3 linked regions of the Anolis sagrei genome follow. The protein of the gene in region 1 purifies or fractionates together with the protein of each later gene. This does not show direct contact. Links are inferred from orthologs where the notes say so. Each region holds a gene or a part of one and is shown in the gene's direction. Other genes may lie near its edges.

Region 1 (7,087 bases):
ACAAAAATCACAATTAATTAGGAAAACAAGCAGCTTATTTCAGTCATCTCCTCATATTTGGGTCACATCAAGAGGGAGTGGTTTAGTGTTACACATAAAAATCAAGCATTTTATTTATAATAATAATAATAATAATAATAATAATAATAATAATAATAATTTGTTTTCCGCTCTATCTCCCCAAGGGGACTCAGGGCAGATTATATCCTACCTTTTGTCCAAAAATGGGGTTCAAAAGCAGGACAAGAGTGCTTAACTCAATTTAAACCAGGCTCTAGAACTCTTTCACAAATGAGTACTATCCATTATTACATTATATTAATGCTATATACTTTTTCTTCCAGGATGCTCATGGCCTTTGTTATCCATCATCGAACAGACATGAGCAGAATTTTGCCTATTTGATCGTGAATCCTTTGAAACGGCACATTTATGTTTTGTATCATTCTTACGGCGGAGCTTTGTTCTGTAATTGACTGGGTTTGATTCCTCAAGTTTATTTGATGAATAGATGAATTCTCCTTAGATATAGATTTGTCAGGATTCTGTTCTTTTCAAAGAGATCTATGTTATCTACACACGTTTTCCCCTTCCCAGAAATCTAAGGTACTCAGTATGGTTTCAAACACATATTTTGTATTATTAATGTTACAGACTTAATACCCATATCAATACTTGTGCAATGTACTATTTGAAAAGTTTTGCTGTTGCTGAATTATATCCTGCCTACAAAGACTCTTATTTGAAACTATCATAATAACATTTACATTTGTGTTTTCTTAACCATAAATAAAAACTTTTTAAATGTTGTGTACATACATTTTGAGTATGAAATAGCAATTTTAAACTATGAAAACATATAACTATTGGTTTGGAATTTGATTGATGAGTCTGTTGTTGATGATTGATGGGTCAAGAAACAGTTCTCAGTTCAGATTGCTTATGTGGTCCTAAAGCAGCAATAATTTTATAATTAATGAGGGAATTTTTAAAAAAAGAGAAAGTGAACCCCAACATTTTGTAAAACATTTTGTTTGTTTTACACTGTAGAAGTGATGCAGTTTGGTACTACTTCAACTCCCATGGCTCCATGGTATGGAATGATGGGAGTTATCATTTTTACAAGGTCATGGGGAGGCATGGGCAAACTTGGGCCCTCCTTCCAGGTGTTTTGGACTTCAACTCCCACCATTCCTAACAGCCTCAGGTCCCTTCCCTTTCCCTATGTACAGAGTTGCCTTTTTTACACAGTTGCCTTTTTACACACAGTAGCCTTCACACTGGAGCTTCTTACACAAAGTCTTCAACCTGATTGTTTTTAAATGTTTTAATTGTTTTAATGTACTTTAAAATTATATTTTAATATTTATTTAACTGTACATTGTGTTTTAAGGCATCAAATTGTTGCCTTTTTGTAAAGCCGACTTGAGTCCCCTCCAGGGTGAGAAAGGCAGGATAGAAATGTTGTAAGTAAATAAATAAATAAACCTGGGGCTTCTCTCACCAGGCTGTCCTCACACCAGGCCTCTCACACACTGAGGCCTACTAACTCTGAGGCCTACCTGACACTTGCTGCCAGTTTGCTACCGAGCACAATCCAAAGTGCTGGCTTTAGACTATAAAACCCTAAATGGTTCTGGCCCAACTTACATGTCCGAATTTATCTCTCCCTATGAACCATCTAGGAGTTTAAGATCATCTGGGGAGGCCCTGCTCTTGATCCTGCCTTCTTTGCAGATGCAACTGGCGGGGCCGAGAGACAGGGCCTTCTCAGTGGTGGCCCCTCAACTGTGGAACTCCCTCTCTAGGGATATTAAATGAACCCCTTTCCTCCTGACTTTCCACAGACCAGTGAAAACATGGCTATTTGAACAAGCCTTTGGGAATCTAGTACAATAAATAAACACGGAAGTATGTGAAATCAAATACTGAAACAGCTTAGACAATGTTTTTGGACGACGAGGTTTTATATGTTTTTAAAGGTTTTAATGTATGCATTTTATAAATCAAAAAAAATATTGTAATTTTTACATTGTTTTAACGGCATCTAATAGCTGCCTATGTTGTAAAGCCATCTTGGGTCACCTTCAAGTTCAAGAAAGGCGGGATAGAAATATCGTAAATAAATAAAGGGCTTGAGGCTGCTTTTTTTCTCGTGTCAGGCGCGACTTGAGAAACTGCAAGTCGCTTCTGGCGTGAGAGAATGGCTGCTGGGAATGGTGGGAGTTAAAGTCCAAAACACCTGGAGGGAGGGCCCAAGTTTTCCCAGGCCTGGTCTTTAGCTTTCTGTGCGAGAAGCTGCTGGTGCCTCACCAGACTGCAAATCCTTGGATTCCATTGCATTGTGCCATGGCAGTTCAAAGTGGTGTCAGGTTGTGACAATTCTTCACCCTGAAAGCATGCCACCTTCATCTTAGCTGCTTACTTAGGTGATCTAATTCAAGGTGCAGGTGCTTACCTACAAAGCCCTAAACGGTTTGGGACCTGCCTACCTGCGTGACCGCATCTCCGTTTATGAACCCACGCGCTCCCTTCGTTCATCCGGAGGGGCCCTGCTCGCGATCCCACCTGCGTCGCAGGCACGTTTGGTGGGGACGAGGGACAGGGCCTTCTCTGTGGTTGCCCCCCAACTCTGGAACACCCTCCCCAAAGACATTAGACTAGCACCCACGTTGGCAGTCTTTAGGAAAAACTTGAAGACCTGGCTATTCAGATGTGCTTTTCCGGAATAGGATAACCCCCACTATGTCCCAGAAGCACTTTATTAGAGTTTAAGACTCTCTGCACATTGCACTTGCCCAGAATCCCAACATACTACCTCTCACAGCCAGCACTTTTTAACCTGTACCCATCACTGGCCCAGCCCTGGTTTTTATTGCGTAATAGTGTAATGTTTTCTTATTGCTTATGTTTTTAATTTGCTTTGCATCGTATTGTTATTGTTTGCTGTTGTTGTGTTGAGGCCTTGGCCTTTGTAAGCCGCAATGAGTCCTTCGGGAGATGCTAGCGGGGAACAAATAAAGTTTAATAATAATAATAATAATCCCTCGTTGTCGGAGTAAGGTTGGTTTACTGGCAGTTGGTACGTAGGTGACTGTGGAGCCCTATTATTGATCTGCATGTTCTCCCGCAGTGAGGGCATCGGTTTCCAGGTGGAAGGCGGTCCCGGTCGGGGTTGGCTTCATGCACCTTCCTCTTGGCATGTTTCTTTCTTTTGCTCTCCATTCCTGCTTCTTCAAATTCTACAACACTGGTGGTCACAGCTGACCTCCAGCTGGAGCGCTCAAGGCCCAGGGCTTTCCAGTTCTCAGTGTCTATGCCAGAGTTTGACATTGAGTTTATTAAGGTTTACTTTTGAGCAGACAATAGTTAAGATTGCAGGCTGTGATTTATTTTGGGGGGAATAAAGAGGTAGGGTAAGCAAGGGTTGATTCTCCACCAAGCTTGCTAGAGAAGCCTTGCTGCAAAGCAACCACAGAACACAAAGTCCTGGCAATGATTGCAGAGGTGTCCTTTCCCTCCCCTTCCCTTCCCTCCTCCTCTTCCATGGGGGCTTTGAAGCCTGGTGGGTTGGGGTCTTGTTTCCTTTCCCCCTCCCTTTCTCCTCTTTTTAATGGTGTGTGTGTGTGTGTGTGGGAGGCGAAATACTCCCACTTTCCCCTCCTTTTCGTCTCCGTGGGAGGGTTGGAAAACTTTTTTTTTTTTGGAGGGGGAGACAGGATGAGGAGGGTGGGTAGAAGTATAAAATACACGGTTCCTGGACACTAGTGGAGGCCAAGAAAACGACTCGGGCGGGTTTGCTTGAAAAACGACTAAAAATAAAAACACAACAATTGTCTCAGCTGGAAAAGAGGAAAAAAAGAGCCACGAAAGTAAACGTGAGGGAATCCCAACACATTGAAGTCTTTAAATCAGTGCAAAATTGCTTTTAAAAAAATCAGAGTGGGCGGGCGCGTGAAAGGAGAATTGAAACAGAGCCTCCTTTAACTCTGGCTGGGCTGCATTAAGCCCCGTCGAAATTCGGCGCGGGCGGGCCCTCGCGGGGCGGAGCTGGCTCGGGCGGGCGACTTTGGGAACTTTTGTTTGGCAGCGTTTGAGCTCCTGATCAACGACAAACAGGGACGTCGAGGCATTATAGATAGATCTATACATCTATTTTCTTTTTTTTCCTCAAAGCTGGGACGGATTAGAGGAGAAAATTGTCGGGAGAGTTGAAAAAATTTTGCGTGCGAAGGAAGGAAAAAAAAGAATCAAGAACTGATTCCTACAGAATTGACTCGGGCGGGCGCCTTTGCGAACTTTTCTTTAGGAGTCAGTCAAAGAGATAATTGAGAAGTAACCAACTTATATCGGAGTTGGGACGGATTAGTGAAGGAGGAAAGGAAGATTGCAGTGATTGCGATTGATTGACAGGCGGCTTGGAGGAAAAATTGCTCTGAAAGGATTTCCGCGCGGCCGGGCGCGAGAAGAGGGAGAAAAAAAATCTTCAGTTTCTGCGGCCGGGCTACATTGAGTCGCATTAGAGGCGGAGTTCGGCGCGGGCGGGCTAGTTTGCGAAGTTTTGTTTTGAGCTCGGCTGAAGGAGAAAAAAGAAGCAAGCGAAGGTTTCGGGGGATGAAAGACGGCCAGCCGGGAGCGGAGGCTTGAGAGAAGCAGCCGAGGAGGGGGAGAGGAGGAGGAGGAGCCCCGTCGCCCGCCATGGAGGCCTCCGCAGCGGGGCAGACCCCTCCGCAAGCCTCGGCCCCGGAGAGCGGCGGCTCCGGGCAGCAGCAACAGCCGCCTCCGCCCCCGCCGCCGCCTCCGGCCGGACACCAGATCGTCCACGTCCGGGGAGACTCGGAGACCGACCTGGAGGCCCTCTTCAACGCCGTCATGAACCCCAAGGGCGCCAACGTGCCCCACACGCTGCCCATGAGGCTCCGGAAGCTGCCGGACTCCTTCTTCAAGCCGCCAGAGCCCAAGGCCCACTCCAGACAGGTGAGCGGGAGGAAGGGGCGCCCTGGACACTGGGCATTGCAAGTACCTGCTGAGCTGGAGTTTGGCAATCCCTACTCTAACCTCCTGGGGTGCATCTACATGTAGAACAGGCATGGGCCAACTTGGGCCCTCCCTCCAGGTGCTTTGGGCTTCAACTCCTACTATTCCTAACAGCCTCAGGCCCCTTCCTTTTCTGGGAAGAGTAAAAATGCCTCTGTGTGAGAGAAGTTTCACTATGAGGAAGGCCTGGTGTGAGAGAAGCCCTGTGTGAGAAAGCTCCACTGTGAAGGCTGTTGTGTGTAACGCTACAAGGTCTTTAGCAGGTATGGGCCAACTTGGGCCCTCCCTCCAGGTGTTTTGGGCTTCAACTCCTACTATTCCTAACAGCCTCAAAGTTTCACTATGAGGATGGCCTGGTGTGAGAGAAGCCCTGTGTGAGAAACCTCCAGTGTGAAGGCTGCTGTGTGTAAAGCTACAAGGTCCTTAGCAGGTATAGGCAAACTTGGGCCAGGTGTTTTGAGCTTCGACTCCTACAGCCTCAGGCGCCCTCCTTTTCTGGGAAGAGTAAAAATGCCTCAGTGTGAGAGAAGTTTCACTGTGAGGATGGTCTGGTGTGAGAGAAGCCTTGTGTGAGAAAGCCCCACTGTGAAGGCTGTTATGTGTAACACTAGAAGGTCTTTAGCAGGTATGGGCAAACTTGGGCCCTCCTGAGGAAGGCCTGGTATGAGAAAGCCTATTAAAAGAGAAGCCTTGTGGGAGAAAGCTCCAGTGTAAGGGCTGTTTTGTGTAAAACTGCAAAGTCTTTAGCAGATATGGACAAACTTGGGCCCTCCCTCCAGGTGTTTTGGGCTTCAACTCCTACTATTCCTAACAGCCTCAGGTGCCCTCCTTTTCTGGGAAGAGTAAAAATGCCTCAGTGTGAGAGAAGTTTTACTATGAGGAAGGCCTAGTGTGAGAGAAGTCTTGTGTGAGAAACCTCCAGTGTGAAGGCTGCTGTGTGTAAAGCTACAAGGTTTTTAGCAGGTATGGACAAATTGGGCCCTCCCTCCAGGTGTTTTGGACTTCCAACTCTCACCATTCCTAACAGCCTCAGGCCCCTTCCTTTTCTGAAAAGAGTAAAAATGCCTCTGTGTGAGAGAAGTTTCACTATGAGGTAGGCCTGGTGTGAGAGAAGCCCTGTGTGAGAAAGCCCCACTGTGAAGGCTGTTGTGTGTAAAGCTACAAGGTCTTTAGCAGGTATGGGCAAACTTGGGCCCTTCCAAGGAAGGCCTGGTATGAGAAGGCCTGGTATGAGAGAAGCCTTGTGGGAGAAAGTTCCAGTATGAGGGCTCTTTTGTGTAAAGCTGCAAGGTCTTTAGCAGATATGGACAAACTTGGGCCTTTCCTCCAGGTGTTTTGGACTTCCAACTCTCACCATTCCTAACAGCCTCAGGCCTCTTCCATTTCTGCAAAGAGAAAAATGCCTCAGTGTGAGAGAAGTTTCACTATGAGGAAGGCCTGGTATGAGAGAAGCTTGTGTGAATGCTGCTGTGTGTAAAGCTACAAGGTCTTTAGCAGGTATGGGCAAACTTGGGCCCTTCCTCCAGGTGTTTTGGACTTCCAACTCTCACCATTCCTAACAGCCTCAGGCCTCTTCCTTTTCTGCAAAGAGAAAAAATGCCTCAGTGTGAGAGAAGTTTCACTATGAGGAAGGCCTGGTGTGGGAGAAGCCTTGTGTGAGAAACCTCCAGTGTGAAGGCTGCTGTGTGTAAAGATACAAGGTTTTTAGCCGGTATGGGCCAACTTGGGCCCTCCCTCCAGGTGTTTTGGGCTTCAACTCCTACTATTCCTAACAGCCTCAGGCGCCCTCCTTTTCTGGGAAGAGTAAAAATGCCTCTGTGTGAGAGAGGTTTCACTATGAGGAAGGCCTGGTATGAGAAGCCCTGTGTGAGAAAGTCCCACTGCGAAGGCTGTTGTGTGTAACACTACAAGGTCTTTATTAGGTATGGGCAAACTTGGGCCTTCCAAGGGAGGCCTAGCATAAGAGAAGCCTTGTGGGAGAAAGCTCCAGTGTGAGGGCTGTTTTGTGTAAAGGCTGTTGTGTGTAATGCTACAAGGTCTTTAGCAGGTA
Region 2 (7,868 bases), on another chromosome or scaffold:
TGAATAAATTGTCAATATTTGCCTGAGATAGTGCTTACAGTTCTGGAGGAACTCTTCATTAGGTTCTTGTGGGATTTTTCGGGCTATAGAGCCATGTTCTAGAGGCATTTCTCCTGACGTTTCGCCTGCATCTATGGCAAGCATCCTCAGAGGTAGTGAGGTCTGTTGGAACTAGGAAAAGGGGTTTATATATCTGTGGAATGGCTTGGGTGGGGCAAAGAGCGTTTCTCTGCTGGAGCTAGGTGTGAATGTTTCAACTGATCACCTTCATTAGCATTTGAAGGCCTGCCTGAGCCTGGGAAAATCTCTTGCTGGGAGGTGTTAATCTGTGCCTGGTTGTTTCCTCTCTGTTGTTTTGCTGTTGTAATTTTAGAGTTTTTTAATACTGGTAGCCAGATTTTGTTCATTTTCATGGTCTCTTCCTTTCTGTTGAAATTGTCCACATGCTTGTGGATTTCAATGGCTTCTCTGTGTAGTCTGACATGGTGGTTGTTGGTGTGGTCCAGCATTTCTGTGTTCCCAAATAATATGCTGTGTCCAGGCTGGTTCATCAGGTGCTCTGCTATGGCTGACTTCTCTGGTTGAAGTAGTCTGCAGTGCCTTTCATGTTCCTTGATTCGTGTTTGGGCGATGCTGCGTTTGGTGGTCCCTATGTAGACTTGTCCACAGCTGCATGGTATACGGTAGACTCCTGCAGAGGTGAGAGGATCCCTCTTGTCCTTTGCTGAACGTAGCATTTGTTGGATTTTCTTGGTGGGTTTGTAGATTGTTTGCATGTTGTGTTTCCTCATCAGCTTCCCTATGTGGTCAGTGGTTCCCTTGATGTATGGCAGGAACACTTTTAATCTGGGTGGATCTTCATCTTGACTCTCGTGGCTTGTTCTTGGTCTTGCAGCTCTTCTGATGGCTGAGGTGGAGTATCCATTGGCCTGGAGAGCCCAGTTGAGGTGGTTCAGTTCATCTTGGAGGAGGTGGGGTTCGCAGATTCTTTTTGCACGGTCTGCCAAGGCTTTAATGGTGCTTCTTTTTTGACTTGGGTGATGGTTGGAGTTTTTATGTAGATATCTATCTGTGTGTGTGGGTTTTCTGTAGACGGTGTGACCCAATTGTTGATCTGGTTTGCGGATGACTAGGACATCTAGAAAAGGCAGTCTTCCTTCATTTTCTTTTTCCATGGTGAACTGGATGTTTGGATGGATGCTGTTAAGATGGTCCAGGAACCTGGCTCCAAATGGTGAAAGTGTCATCCACATATCTGAACCATATCGTGGGCTTTTTGGTTGCTGTCTCCAGGGCTTGTTCTTCAAAGTGTTCCATGTAGAAGTTAGCTATGACCGGGCTGAGAGGGCTCCCCATAGCTCTTCATTTTTTGCATCTCATAGACTTCGCATGGGGATTTGGTTAACCAGTTAAAATTCATGAGTAAACCAGGTTTTTTTAAAAAAAATCTGAAACATTTGGGGGGGGGGGGTTGAACCCCTAAAACCACCCCCTCGCTACAGGCCTGCACATCACCAAACCAATATTACCAAACTTCCCCCCTCCCCCTTCCCCTCCCAAAAAAATATACACACATTCCAATATGTGTGTATGAATTTTCTCTACAGTCTACCTCCCCCCCCCCCAAATCTCCCCAGCGATGATTCTCTGCGGGTGCCTGGCTTGTTCTAGGTGCCTCCCAGCCGGGATCAATGCGCTCTACGTGGGGCTGCCCTTGAAGACGGCTCGGAAGCTCCAACTGGTCCAACGATCAGCAGCCAGGATGCTAACTGGGGCCCCTTACAGAGAGAGGTCAACCCTCTTGTTCAAGGAGCTCCACTGGCTGCCATTTAATTTCCAAGCCCTATTCAAGGTGCAGGTGCTTACCTACAAAGCCCTGAACGGTTTGGGACCAGCCTACCTGCGTGACCACATTTCCATCTACGAACCCACGCGTTCTCTTCGGTCATCTGGAGAGGCCCTGCTCGTAATCCCACCGGCGTCGCAAGCGCGCTTGGTGGGGACGCGGGACAGGGCCTTTTCTGTGGTGGCCCCCCGACTCTGGAACACCCTCCCCAAAGACCTTAGACAGGCCCCTACATTGGCTGTCTTCAGAAAGAACTTGAAGACCTGGCTTTTCCGATGCGCCTTCCCAGATTAGGAAATCTCCACTACCAAGTCCCATAAGCACCTTATCAGAACCAATGATTGCTGCACATCGCACTTGCCCTGGAAGCCCTATATACACCTCCTGTCACATCAGCACTTTTAATCTTGTACCCATTGCTTTGGCCTGGCCCAGTTTTATTGTGTTTAGTGTATTGTGCCTGTTGTTTATTTTGCTTTATTCTGTTTTTAATTGTTTGATTTGCTTAGATTGGACTGTTGTGTTGTGTGTTGAGGCCTCGGCCTGTGTAAGCCGCATCGAATCCTTCGGGAGATGCTTGTTGTTGTTCATTCGTTCAGTCATCTCCAACTCTTCGTGACCTCATGGACCAGCCCACGCCAGAGCTCCCTGTCGGCCGTCAGCACCCCCAGCTCTTTCAAGGTCAGTCCAGTCGCTTCAAGGATGCCATCCATCCATCTTGCCCTTGGTTGGCCCCTCTTCCTTTTGCCTTCCACTTTCCCCAGCATAATTGTCTTCTCTAGGCTTTGCTGTCTCCTCATGATGTGGCCAAAGTACTTCAACTTTGTCTCTAGTATCCTTCCCTCCAGTGAGCAGTCGGGCTTTATTTCCTGGAGGATGGACTGGTTGGATCTTCTCGCAGTCCAAGGCACTCTCAGAACTTTCCTCCAACACCACAGCTCAAAAGCATCGATCTTCCTTCGCTCAGCCTTCCCTAAGGTCCAGCTCTCACATCCGTAGGTTACTACAGGGAATACCATGGCTTTGACTAGGCGGATCTTTGTTGCCAGTCTGATGTCTCTACTCTTCACTATTTTATTGAGACTGGACATTGCTCTCCTCCCAAGAAGTAAGCGTCTTCTGATTTCCTGGCTACAGTCTGCATCTGCAGTGATCTTTGCGCCTAGAAATACAAAGTATGTTATGGAGAGAGATATTGACAAGCTGGAATGTGTCCAGAGGAGGGCGACTAAAATGATCAAGGGTCTGGAGAACAAGCCCTATGAGGAGCGGCTTAGGGAACTGGGCATGTTTAGCCTGAAGAAGAGAAGGCTGAGAGGAGACATGATAGCCATGTATAAATATGTGAGAGGAAGCCACAGGGAGGAGGGAGCAAGCTTGTTTTCTGCTTCCTTGGAGACTAGGACGCGGAGCAATGGCTTCAAACTACAAGAGAGGAGATTCCATCTGAACATGAGGAAGAACTTCCTGTGAGAGCCGTTCAGCAGTGGAACTCTCTGCCCAGGAGTGTGGTGGAGGCTCCTTCTTTGGAAGCTTTTAAACAGAGGCTGGATGGCCATCTGTCAGGGATGATTTGAATGCAATATTCCTGCTTCTTGGCAGGGGGTTGGACTGGATGGCCCATGAGGTCTCTTCCAACTCTTTGATTCTATGATTCTATGATTCTATGGCCTCCACATTTTCTCCCTCTATTTTCCAGTTGTCAATCATTCTTGTTGCCATAATCTTGGTTTTTTTTATGTTTAGCTGCAACCCAGCTTTTCTTTCACCTTGATTAGAAGGCTCCTCAGCTCCTCCTCGCTTTCGGCCATCAGAGTGGTGTCATCTGCATATCTGAGGTTGTTAATGTTTCTTCCAGCAATTTTCACCCCAGCCTTGCATTCATCAAGCCCCGCACATCGCATGATGTGTTCTGCATACAAGATAAAAAGGGGATTGGGTTAAACAATTAAAATTCATGAGTAAACCAGGTTTTTTTAAAAAAATCTGAAACATTTGGGGGGAGGGGGGTTGAACCCCTAAAGCCACCCCCTCGCTACAGGCCTGCACATCACCAAACCGATATTACCAAACTTCCCCCCTCCCCCTCCCAAAAGAATATACACACATTCCCAGGCCTGTAGCGAGGGGGTGGTTTTAGGGGTTCAATCCCCCCCCCCCGAAATGTTTCAGATTTTTTTAAAAAACCTGGTTTACTCATGAATTTTAACTGGTTAAAAAAATCCCCATGCTAGGTCTATGAGATGCAAAAAATTAAGAGTCCCTCCAGAACTGTAAGCACTATCTCAAGCAAATATTGACAATTTATTCACACTGTCATTACTTTCAGCAATAGCGGATGTAGTGAAGCAACCAAGTTGGGTGGGGTGTGTCTGTTGAATGCTCTCATTAAGGAGGCCAGACTTGGTGGAGGTGGTTGACAGGGGTGGAGCTGCAGACTATTGAAGGTTGCTTTTCCCCCTGCTGTGCTCTTTGCTTCAGCGTGAGCTAGGAGGTAGGTTTCAACCCCCCCCCCCCGAAAATTTCAACCCTCCCTGAAATTTTCAAACCCCCCCACTGAAATTTTAACCCCCCCCCCTGAAATTGTCAACCCTCCCCGAAATTTTTTTCTGGCTACGGCCCTGCACATTCCTATATGTGTGTATGAATTTTCTCTACAGTCTACCTCCCCCCCCCCCCCCAAATCTCCCCAGCGATGATTCTCTGCGGGTGCCTGGCTTGTTCTAGGTGCCTCCCAGCCGGGATCAGTGACCGGGAGGGAGAGCTTGACCTCGTGCAGCAGGCGCCCATGGGCGCGCGCCTCCCCTCCGCCGGCAGGAGCGGAGGGAAGGCCTGGCCCCCTCCTCTTCCTCCTGCGACGGATGCGGATGCTGCTGCTGCTGCGGCTTTAAGAGCTCCCACGCCTCCCTTTCGGTCCCTCCTGGAGGAGAAGGCAGGCGGACCGTCGGGGAAGAGCTCCAAAGACGCAGCCAGGCGGGGGCGGGGCCAGGAGGCCAGCTCCAAACTCCGTTGCCTGCAGCCAACTCAGCGAGAGAGATTGGGCGCGCGCGCGCGAGAGAGAGAGAGAGCGCGAGGCAAGGAATCCAGTCAGGGAGGCAAGCAGGGCGCGAGCTTCCTTGGCTGGGGAAGGGGCGGAGGCAAGCCCGCAGCGGCGACTGCAGAGAGGAGAGGAACCCCAGCCGCGGATGGAGCCGTAGCCAGAGAAGCCCGTATGTACAAACTTCGGCGTTGGCGTCCCTTCCCTTCACCGCTGCCTCTCCTCGCTTCCTTCCTTCCCTCCCTTCTCCTGCTCTTTTGGGCTCCTCTCTCTCTCTCTCTCTCTTTCCCCCTCCCCGCCTCCAGCATTCCTTCCTTCCTCAGCTGCTTTCTTGCAGGGTTTCCTCTCATTCCTCAAGTCCTCCCCTCTTTCCGACTTGTCTTCCGCTTTGCCTCCTTGACGGCTTGTTTTACCGTCCCCCCCCCCCCCCCCAATTTTCGGCCTCAGCATCATTCCTCCTCCCTCCCCCCTTCACTTGGTCCACCCATAGCAGGCAGCCTGCTTAGGTTTACTAGGAAGTTAATGCATCAACTCAGGATGTCTTCAAACGTCAGCCTGATTTCCCAAACTTGTTACTTTTTTTAAAGTCATAAATTATGAAACTGGCAGCACAATCCGTTGAAAAGAACCCCAAACAGCCCCTTTTGGTCAACACAAATATATTCTTAAGCCACCCCCTCCCCCACACACATTTCTTTAAAATAAGAACAATATCTATATAAATAAAAATGTAATTTGTGGGAGTAACATAACTCAAACACCACTGGACGAATTGACACCAAATTTGGACACAAAACACATATCAGGCCAACGAGTGACAATCACTCATAAAAACACAGCAGAAGGGACTTCAAAAGCCAAAAAACAAAATTTACATTACAGTGCATGCTCAAAACCACACACACACACATACTAGCTGTCCCCTGCCACACGTTGCTGTGGCCCAGTCTGTTGATCTGGAAAATAAAGTAACGAGAAAGTGTTGGTTTCTAATATATGTAATTCCTTTATACTTGTGGGTAAACAGTACTTCTTGTTGTTTCTTTGTCATTGTTGATGTGGAGAGTGCCTGGTTTGCCCATCCTGGAACATGCAAGATATCATTATCCTTCTTTAAGGGTCCCTTTCAAATCTATAATACTATCTCTCTCGCTGTGTGTGTGAATCATATCTATCTATCTATATCTATCTATGGTTGGGTGGCTTTTTGTCAGGAGGACTTTGATTACGTTTTCTTGCCCTGAAGAAGGGAGTTGGATTGGATGGCCTTAAGTATTTTCTGTTGGTCATGGGGGTTCTGTGTGGAAAGTTTGCCCCGATTCTGTCGTTCGTGGGGTTCAGGATGCTCTTTGATTGTAGGTGAACTGTGAATCCCAGTGACTACAACTCCCAAATATCAAGGTCTATTTCCCCCAAACTCCATCTGTGTTCATATTTGGGCGTATTGAGTGCTTGTGCCAAGTTTGGTCCAGATCCATCATTGTTTGAGTCCACAGTGCTCTCTGGATGTAGGTGGACTACAACTCCCAAACTCAAGGTCAATGCCCACCAAACAATTCTAGTATTTTCCTTTGGTCATGGGAGTTCTGTGTGCCAAGTTTGGTTCAATTCCATCGTTGGTGGAGTTCAGAATGCTCTTTGATTGTAGGTGAACTATAAATCCCAGCAACTACATCTCCCAAATGACAAAATCATAATTTTTTGAGTGATGGTCACTCCTTGTGTTGTAAGATGTTTTGTTGCCAAATTTGCTGTGATTTCGTTCATTGGTTCTTTTGTTTTTAAGGTACTCATTACGTACAGAGTATTTATATATAGAAAGAAAGAAAGAAAGATAGATTAGTGAAAGAAAACTTACTATAGGACGGGCCAAATCAGAAGGACATGGGAGGCAAAATGGAAGGGTCTCATTTCCAGAATAAAGGGGAAAGATAAGTATAAGGAGTTAAATAAGACTAACCTCGTGATTGAACAATTGTAATAAGAATAGCAAAAGTAGTAAACTGTTCCTGGGCGGGGGGAGGGGGGAGATGTGGATGGGTGGTGGTGGGATTTGGGAAAATACTGGTATTTTGATTGCTGATTTTGAAGATTGTATCTTTCTATGTCTGATACAATAAAAATGTAAAAAAAAAAATTAAGAACAATACTAGGTTGGCAAGCTTACCTATTGACTTCATTAGGACTTCCTTCTAATGAGCATGCACAAACACTGAGGATCCATCTGTTTTCTAATGTTTGAGTGGATTGAGGGGCTTTTCTGGGGGCCCTTCCACACAGCTGTATAAAAATCCACATTGAGCAGGATTCTATGGCAGTGTGGACTCAGATAATCCAGTTCAAAGCAGATATTGTGGGTTATCTGCCTTGATGTTCTGGGTTATATGTAAGCAGATGTACATTTCCTTCCTGTAATGCAAACCAATGCAGTGGCCTCACTGTACTGTTATTTTTTCTTAACGGTTCGGTCCCCACCTATCTTTGCAATCGCATCTGAATCTATGAACCGGCGCAAATTCTAAGATCTGAGGAGGAGGCCCTCCTCTCGCTCCCACCTCCGTCACAACCATGGTTGGTGGGGACGAGAGAGAAGGCCTTCTCAGTGGTGCCCCCCCCCCCCACCTGGCCTCTGGAACGCCTTTCCAAGGGAAATAAGACAGGCCCCATCCCTCCTCTCTTTTCATAAGAGTTTGAAGACTTGGTGGTTTCAGCAAATCTTCGAGAGTGACCAGTGCTAGCTCAGTCCAGACACTGTCCGGACACAACCTAGCCCCCTATATAGTACTCTGGTCATTCTAACAGGCTCCTGGAAATAGCTTTTGTTCCCACTTTTGTCGTTTTACCTATTACAGTACTGTACCCAAATGCTGGTCCCATCTTATTTCAATTTGTATCAGTCTTGACCCAGCCTTTTAATTGTTCTGACCCATTGCTTTTCCATGCCCTAACAAATAGACATGAAGAGCAGGCAGGATTTTTTCTATT
Region 3 (7,642 bases), about 3.1 Mb from region 1:
AGTGGTCCTTGGACCACAAGTGGTCTGCAAGAACAAAAATATGGTCTGCGGCCTCACCATTACTACACCATTGCCATGCAGCAATGAGAGTGACTGGTCTCACAAAGCCCTCTTATAGTGCTGAGGCAATGGAGATGTCAGGAGGGGGGAGGCTGACTACCCACTAAAGATTGCTACTACTACATCATCTCTAGATTATTAAATATAGTTTTCTATGGACGAGCAGATGGCAACTACTGGATGGCATATGTTCTGTATCAGAAACTGGAGCTGATGTGGACTAGCCAATGCAATTTTCTGAATCAGCACCCCAAATAACCAAACTGAATCTAAAGTTGACCAAAAACTGATTCATTACCCTTTTGGTACTAATGTTGAAAGTGGTCCCTGGTCAAAAAAAAGGTTGGGAACCACTGTTATAGATGAAACTTTGCAAATGCTGTTGACTAGACCAGTGGTTCTCAATGTGTGGGTCCCCAGGTGTTTTAGCCTTCAACTCCCAGAAATCCCAGCCAGTTTACCAGCTGTTAGGATTTCTGGGAGTTGAAGGCCAAAACATCTGGGGACTCACACGTTGAGAACCACTGGACTACACAGTACATAATAAGGGGTGCATCTACAGTGTTGAATCAATGCAATTTGATACCAATTTAAGCTGCCATGGCTCAATGCTATAGAATTGTGGGAGCTGTAGTTTTACAAAGTGAACACATATCCCCATATCATGTCCGTCCCAACTACAGTACTGTCCTCATGATGCACTTTCTCCCGTCCTTAATAAAGGCTCAATCCCATTGTTCGCCCCTTCTAAGCTCACCTCTCAGACACATTCTTCTCCATTTACTTATCTCACCCAGGATTTTATCAATTTTATCCTTTGCATTTGGCCCGCCCACTGTGTTTTATTTCTCTATCAAGTTATTTTACTTTTGTTTATTTTATATTTTGTTATACTTTGTTATTTCATTTTTTTTTATTTTGAAGTATTATTTGCTTGTGTGGACTATTTTGCTGTACTGTAATTTTGGGTTTGGCCTCATGTTAGCTGCCCTGAGTCCCCTGTGAGGAGATGGTGGCGGGGTATAAATAAAGATGATGATGATGATGATGATGATGATGATGATTATTATTATTATTAGAAACACAACAAGATGAGTCCACAGCAAACAAGATTACTCTGCTGCTGTTGTATTGGATCACACGTCAGACACTTCCCAAGTGTCTAGGACTGTGTGATGTATTGGCAAATAATGTGTGCAGATCCCAGTAAGGTGGCCTTCTGCAGCTGGCAGATGGTAATTTTGTCAGCGCCGGTTGTGTTCAAATGCAGGCCAAGGTCTTTAGGCACTGCACCCAGTGTGCCAAACACCACTGGGACCACCTTGACTGGCTTGTGCCAGAGTCTTTGCAGTTCGATCTTTAAATCCTCATAATGTGTCATTTTTTCCAGTTGTTTCTCTTCAATCCTGCTGTCGCCTGGGATTGCAACATCGACAATCCATACTTTGTTTTTTAACACGATTGTGAGGTCAGGAGTATTGTGCTCCCAAACTCTGTCTGAATCCAGAAGTCCCAGAGTAGTTTGATGTGTTCATTTTCTGTAATCTTTTAAGGCTTGCGATCCTACCAGTTCTTTGTCTCAGGCAGATGGTATTTGTGGCACAAGTTCTAATGAATCATCTGGGCAACGGTGTTATGCCTCTGCTTGTAGTCTGTCTGCACGATCTTCTTGCAGCAGCTGAGGATGTGATCTATTGTTTCATCTGCTTCCTACATCTACATTTGGGATCTGTCATCGACTTTTTAATTCTGGCTTTGATGGCGTTTGTTTGTTTGTTGTTTTTGTTATTGTTGTTATTATTATTATTATTATTATTATTATTATTATTATTATGTTCACCTAAGAGTAAGCTGTGATTTGGGTCAAGAGAAGTTCATGGTAATATGCATTCTAGAACAAAACCACAGCTTGACACTCCAGTAACTGCCATGGCTCAATGATATGGGCTTATTGGACAGGCAGAGAAGCCTTGCAAAACGATCCCATGATTTCATAGCAGTGAGCCATGGCAGTTCAAAGTAGTGTCAAACTGCATTAAGTCTACAATGTAGACGCACCCTGAGAGAATGTGACTTGCCCAAGTGGGTTTCCATAGCAAAACAGAGATTCAAACCTGGACTCTAGCATTGTAACTCAGTGATCAAAATACTACACTATGATGGCTTTTCTACTAGGCAATTAAATAAGTAATTTTGTTCTACTGGAGAATGCCATTTGTTGTTGTTTGTTTCGTTCAGATAGCAAGAAACCTTGAGTGGTTCTTGTGTGGGCAAAGCACATTGTTTGTTACAAACAATTAAATGAGTCAGTCTAGTACATACACACTAAATCCAAATCTAATTGCTGTGGATGACACTGATATAATAATTGTGAGGCCCAGCATGAGACATTTCCAACAAAGCTTTGCTGTTTTCCCTTCTCCCTAAAAGAACCGCTTTCTCCATTCATTAACCCCCATCCACCTTCCATTTTTCTTTCTCAGCTGTCATTCTACATCCCACAATAACTAAACACCATCATTGGACTCTGTGCTATGGATGAGTCAGAGATTACACTCGCTGGATTTTATTATATCGATTTATTTCATATTCCTATTCCCTCTTGTTCTCAGCCACTATCCTTTTGGAAGCCACCATCTGTGTTTGCTGTAATAAGGACTGATTGAAAGCTGTGTCAAGGCAACCTTCTTCTGTTGCTATAATATTTTATCATTTATACAATAGAATCCCCATATCCATGGTTTCATTTATCCACATCTGACCAAAAATGTCCTTTCTGGGCATGTTTGAGGTCTTCCAGCCTGACTCTTCCTGGGCCAAATGTCCTTCATTTCACAATCACCCATGGTTTTGTGCATCCATATGAAATCTAAGAACATATCCACTGTGGATATGGGGATCATACTGTATGTATCTCCAAAATGTCTTTGGGTGCATCTGCACCAGTGGTTCCCAACCTTTTTTTGACCAGGGACCACTCTGACCAGGGACCACATGACCAGGGACCACTTTGAACAGAAACCACTTTGAACAGAAACCACTTGACCAGGGGCCACTTTGACCAGAGACCACTTTAACAGGGACCACTTTAACATGGACCACCTTGACCAGGGACCACCTTGACTAGGGACTTCTTTGACCAGAGACCACTTTGACCAGGGACCACTTTGGCCAGAGACCACTTTGGCCAGGGACGACTTTGACCAGGGACCTCTTTGGCCAGGGACCTCTTTGGCCAGGGACCACTTTGGCCAGGGACGACTTTGACCAGAGACCTCTTTGGCCAGAGACCACTTTGGCCAGGGACTTCTTTGACCAGGGACCACTTTGACCAGGGACCACCTTGACTAGGGACCACTTTGACTAGGGACTTCTTTGACCAGAGACCACTTTGGCCAGGGACTTCTTTGACCAGGGACCACTTTGACCAGGGACCACCTTGACTAGGGACCACTTTGACTAGGGACTTCTTTGACCAGAGACCACTTTGACCAGGGACCACTTTGACCAGAGACCACTTTGGCCAGGGACCACTTTGACTAGGGACCACTCTGACCAGGGACCACCTTGACCAGGGACCACCTTGATTGGGACCACTTTGGCCAGGGACCACCTTGACCAGGGACCACCTTGACCAGGGACCACCTTGACCAGGAACCACTTTGACCAGAGACCACTTTGATCAGGGACTACTTTGACCAGAGACCACCTTAACAGGGACCACTTGACCAGGGACCATCTTGACCAGGGACTACTCTTCAACATTAGTACCAATCAGTTTTTGGTCAGCTTTAGATTTGGTTTGGTCATTTGGGGTGCTGATTCAGAACATTGCATTGGATAGACCACATCTGTGCTAGCTTCTTCGATATGGAAGTGACTTAAGACCAAGGTGAGAAATTTCACCAAGACATAAAAACAATGGAAGACAGATACCAAGGAAGACCAAAAACACCAGTCCCTCCAAGTGTTTTGGACTTCAACTCCTACAATTCCTAACCACTTAAGCGGCTGAGGAGGAAAAGGAAGGGGCCTGAGGCTTGAGGAATTGTGAGAGTTGAAGTCCAAATCACCTGTGCCTGTGATAGGGGGAAACAGTTGCCAGTCTTGGAATCAGCAAGTCATATATTCCCAGAAATATGACTAATCTTTGAGGCCCCAAAATGCATGTTGGCTGGTGTAAGAAGTTGACTATTTCTGTATTGTCGAAGGCTTTCATGGATGGAATCACTAGGTTCTTGTGGGTTTTTTCGGGCTATAGGGCCATGTTCAGACCTCACTACCTCTGAGGATGCTTGCCATAGGTGCAGGCGAAACATCAGGAGAAATGCCTCTAGAACATGGCCCTATAGCCCGAAAAAACCCACAAGAACCTATTGACTCTGTTTTCCAAATCCAAGCTTCTGAAATCATTCCAGGGTTTCCTGGCGTAGATGCATCCTTGGTGAGGCACTGGATGCCTCTCAGGCTGGGGATGTGGGATGCCCCTTCCAAACCACAAGCCCTGGGATGCCATGGGATGGATGGGCAGCCATTAAAGGGGAATCCCGGCGCTGTCAGTGGAGAGCGTGGAGGGGCGCCTTGGAGAAGCCCTGGGCGGTGGCGAGGCGCGCTAGGACCTGGCAGGCGCCGGCCTCGGAGGGCGCGGCGGGCTTTTCCCCGGGTAGGATTACTTTGGGAAGCCGAGTCCCTGCTGCCTGGGCGCCGTAGCCTTCCAGGGACCGGACGGGGTTGGGGAAAGGAAGGAGGAGAAAGGAAGAGAAGGAGGAAAAGGAGGAGGAGGAGGAGGCAGCTCTGGAGACGTCGAACCCATGGGCCAAGCTTAAGACGCCGCGAAGTTGCTATGATTTGGGCAGGAGGTAAAAGAAAGGGGGGAATCATACTCCCTGGCATTCTGTTCATTCCGGGAGGAGGAAGGGGGTTCCCTTTGCCCCTCTTGCATTCCTCTTTTCCGCTTTTAGCCAAGGCGGGATGCCCCAAAGTGCGGGTCGAGTCGCGCAAAAGGCTGTCAAAGCGCCAAGCGTTGCGCGCTGGAAAAGGCTTTGCGCCATTCCTCGCCTCTGGTTTCCTCTCCTTTCCAAGCCTCCCCTTTGGGTTGGCGGGGCTGGAAAGAGGGGGAAATCCAGGGGAGGGTCGTGCAGAGGGGTGGGCAGCGGATGGAGGGAGGGTGGAAAAGGGGAACCCCATCCCCAGGTCTTGGGAGAGAAGCGCCCTGGCTGCCAAGCGGCTCCTTCTCTCTGCAGGCGGTGAAGGCGATGCTGGAGCTTGCCTGGCACTGTTAGGGCTTCTCATCCCCCTTTGCAAGCCCCTTCCTCCAACTTAGGTATTCCTCGCCTTCTGAAATGTCAACAAACTTGAGATGTGCCCTGGAAGAAGCTTCAGTTCTTGTTCTGGGTTGCTGTGAGTTGTTGTTCCTTGGGGAGGAGAGTTTGCCAAAGGTCCTCAGTGGGATTACTTTTCCAAAGTGCATCTATGTCAGGAATGGGAAAGCCTTTTGTTTTGGACTTCAACTCCCACCGTTTCTAACACTCTCCGGTCCCTTCCTTTCCTCCCTCACCCGCTTAAGTTGCTGTAGATAGAGAATAAATGGCTTGTGGAAGGGCTGTTGTAGGTTTTTCGGGCTCTACAGCCATGGTCTAGAAGCATTATCTCCTGACATTTTGCCTGCATCCATGGCAAGCATCCTCAGAGGTGGTGAGGTCTGTTGGAAACTAGGAAAAATATATATTCTATATCTGTGGAAAGTCCAGAGTGGGAGAAAGAACTCTTGTCTGTTGGAGATAGGTGTGAATGTTTTAACGTTGATTAGCATTTGATGGCCTGGCAGTTTTTAGGAGTGACCTTTTACTGCCTGGGAGAATCCTTTGTTGGGAGGTAATTAGGTGTTTCTGGTTGTTTCTTGTCTGAAGTTCCCCTGTGTTCTTTATTTACTGTTATAATTTTAGAGTTTTTTTAATACTGGTAGCCAGATTTTGTTCATTTTCATGGTTTCTTCCTTTCTTGTGGATTTTAATGGCTTGTGGAAGGCTTTCATGGCCACAATCATTAGGTTGCTGTGAGTTTTATAGGCTATATGGCCGTGTTCCAGAATCATTCTCTCCTGATGTTTTGCCTGCATCTATGACAGGCATCCTCAGAGGTTGTGAGGTCTGTTGGAAACTAGGAAAATGGGGTTTATATATCTGTGGAATAATGTCCAGGGTGGGAGAAAGAACTCTTGTCTACCTGAGGCAAGTGTGAATGTTTACAGAAAACATACACCTTATAGATATCTACATAAAGACTCCAACCATCATCCAAGTCCAAAAAAGAAGCACAATTAAAGCACTGGCAAAATGAATCTGCAAACCCCACCTCCTCCCAAGGTGAACCAAGCCACCTAAACTGGGCTCTACAGGCCAATGGAGACTCCACTACAGACATCAGAAGAGCTGCAAGGCCATGAACAAGCCACCAGAATAAAGATGAAGATCTACCCAGAGGAAAAGTGTTCTTACCATACATCAAGGGAACCACTGACCACATAGGAAAGCTGATGAAGAAACACAATCTGCAAATGATCTACAGACCCACTAAGAAAATCCAACAAATGCTACGTTCAGCAAAGAACAAGAGGGATCCTCTCACTTCTGCAGGAGTCTACTGTATACCATGCAACTGTGGGCAAGTCTACATAGGGACCACCACACAGCAGCATTGTCCAAACACAAATTAAAGAAAAGGAAAGGCAGACTAATCCAACTAGAGAAACCAGCCATAGCAAAGCACTTGATGAACTAACCTGAACACAGCATATTATTTGAGAACACAGAAATGCTGGACCACTCTCACAACCACCATGTCAGACTACACAGAGAAGCCACTGAAATCCACAAGTATGTGGACAATTTGAACAGAAAGGAGGAAACTATGAAAATGAACAAAATCTGGCTACCAGTATTAAAAAACATTATAACAGTAAATAAAGAACAACACTAAAAAAAAACAGGGAAATTCCACACAGGAAATAATTGGGGTTAGCTAATCACTTCCCAGCAAAGGATTCCCCCAGGAAGTAAGAAGCCAGACCTTGAAACTGCTAGGCTATTAAATGCTAATCAAGGCAGCCAACTGCAACATTCACACCTGCCTTAAACAGACAAGAGTTCTTTCTCCCACCCTGGATATTCCACAGAAATATAACCCAAATTTTCCTGGTTTTCAACAGACCTCACAACCTCTGAGCATGCCTGCCATAGAGGCAAGCAAAATGTCAGGAGAGAATGCTTCTGGAACATGGCCATACAGCCTGGAAAATGCACAGCAACCCAGAATAAATGCCCTTTGACACCACTTTAACATCCCAGCCTCAGTGCTATGGAATCATGGAACTGCTGTAAGAGGGAGAACTGACTATAAATGAAGAAACCCATATTTTGTTCGATTCTAAAATGCAATCCATTGTAAAACTCACACACATTTTAGTACCACCAACAGAAATCTGTACATACTTTCACGATCCCATTGCACTGAGCCATGACAGTCAAAGTGGTGTCAAACTGCACTCCTCCTAAGGTGCAGATGAACCTTTAGAACACCCTCT

The links. The genes of interacting proteins can lie anywhere in the genome.
Region 2: the proteins of YAP1 (region 1) and RASSF8 purify together in Homo sapiens (affinity purification with mass spectrometry, with the first as the bait; 3 studies listed by BioGRID). This does not show direct contact. The link is inferred for Anolis sagrei from reciprocal best matches to the Homo sapiens genes YAP1 and RASSF8.
Region 3: the proteins of YAP1 (region 1) and AMOTL1 purify together in Homo sapiens (affinity purification with mass spectrometry; 8 studies listed by BioGRID and IntAct, with this or other methods). This does not show direct contact. The link is inferred for Anolis sagrei from reciprocal best matches to the Homo sapiens genes YAP1 and AMOTL1.

The regions. Positions count from the first base shown.
Region 1 is NC_090023.1:23,008,503-23,015,589, forward strand, and holds the start of YAP1 (transcriptional coactivator YAP1), read left to right. Parts: upstream 1-4,017; 5' UTR 4,018-4,698; coding exon 4,699-4,977; intron 4,978-7,087. Other genes in the region: CFAP300 (cilia- and flagella-associated protein 300), read left to right, coding at 345-476. UniProt on the Homo sapiens protein: Transcriptional regulator with dual roles as a coactivator and corepressor. Critical downstream regulatory target in the Hippo signaling pathway, crucial for organ size control and tumor suppression by restricting proliferation and promoting apoptosis.
Region 2 is NC_090025.1:91,141,615-91,149,482, forward strand, and holds the start of RASSF8 (ras association domain-containing protein 8), read left to right. Parts: upstream 1-4,745; 5' UTR 4,746-5,055; intron 5,056-7,868.
Region 3 is NC_090023.1:19,890,994-19,898,635, forward strand, and holds the start of AMOTL1 (angiomotin-like protein 1), read left to right. Parts: upstream 1-4,519; 5' UTR 4,520-4,534; coding exon 4,535-4,919; intron 4,920-7,642. UniProt on the Homo sapiens protein: Inhibits the Wnt/beta-catenin signaling pathway, probably by recruiting CTNNB1 to recycling endosomes and hence preventing its translocation to the nucleus.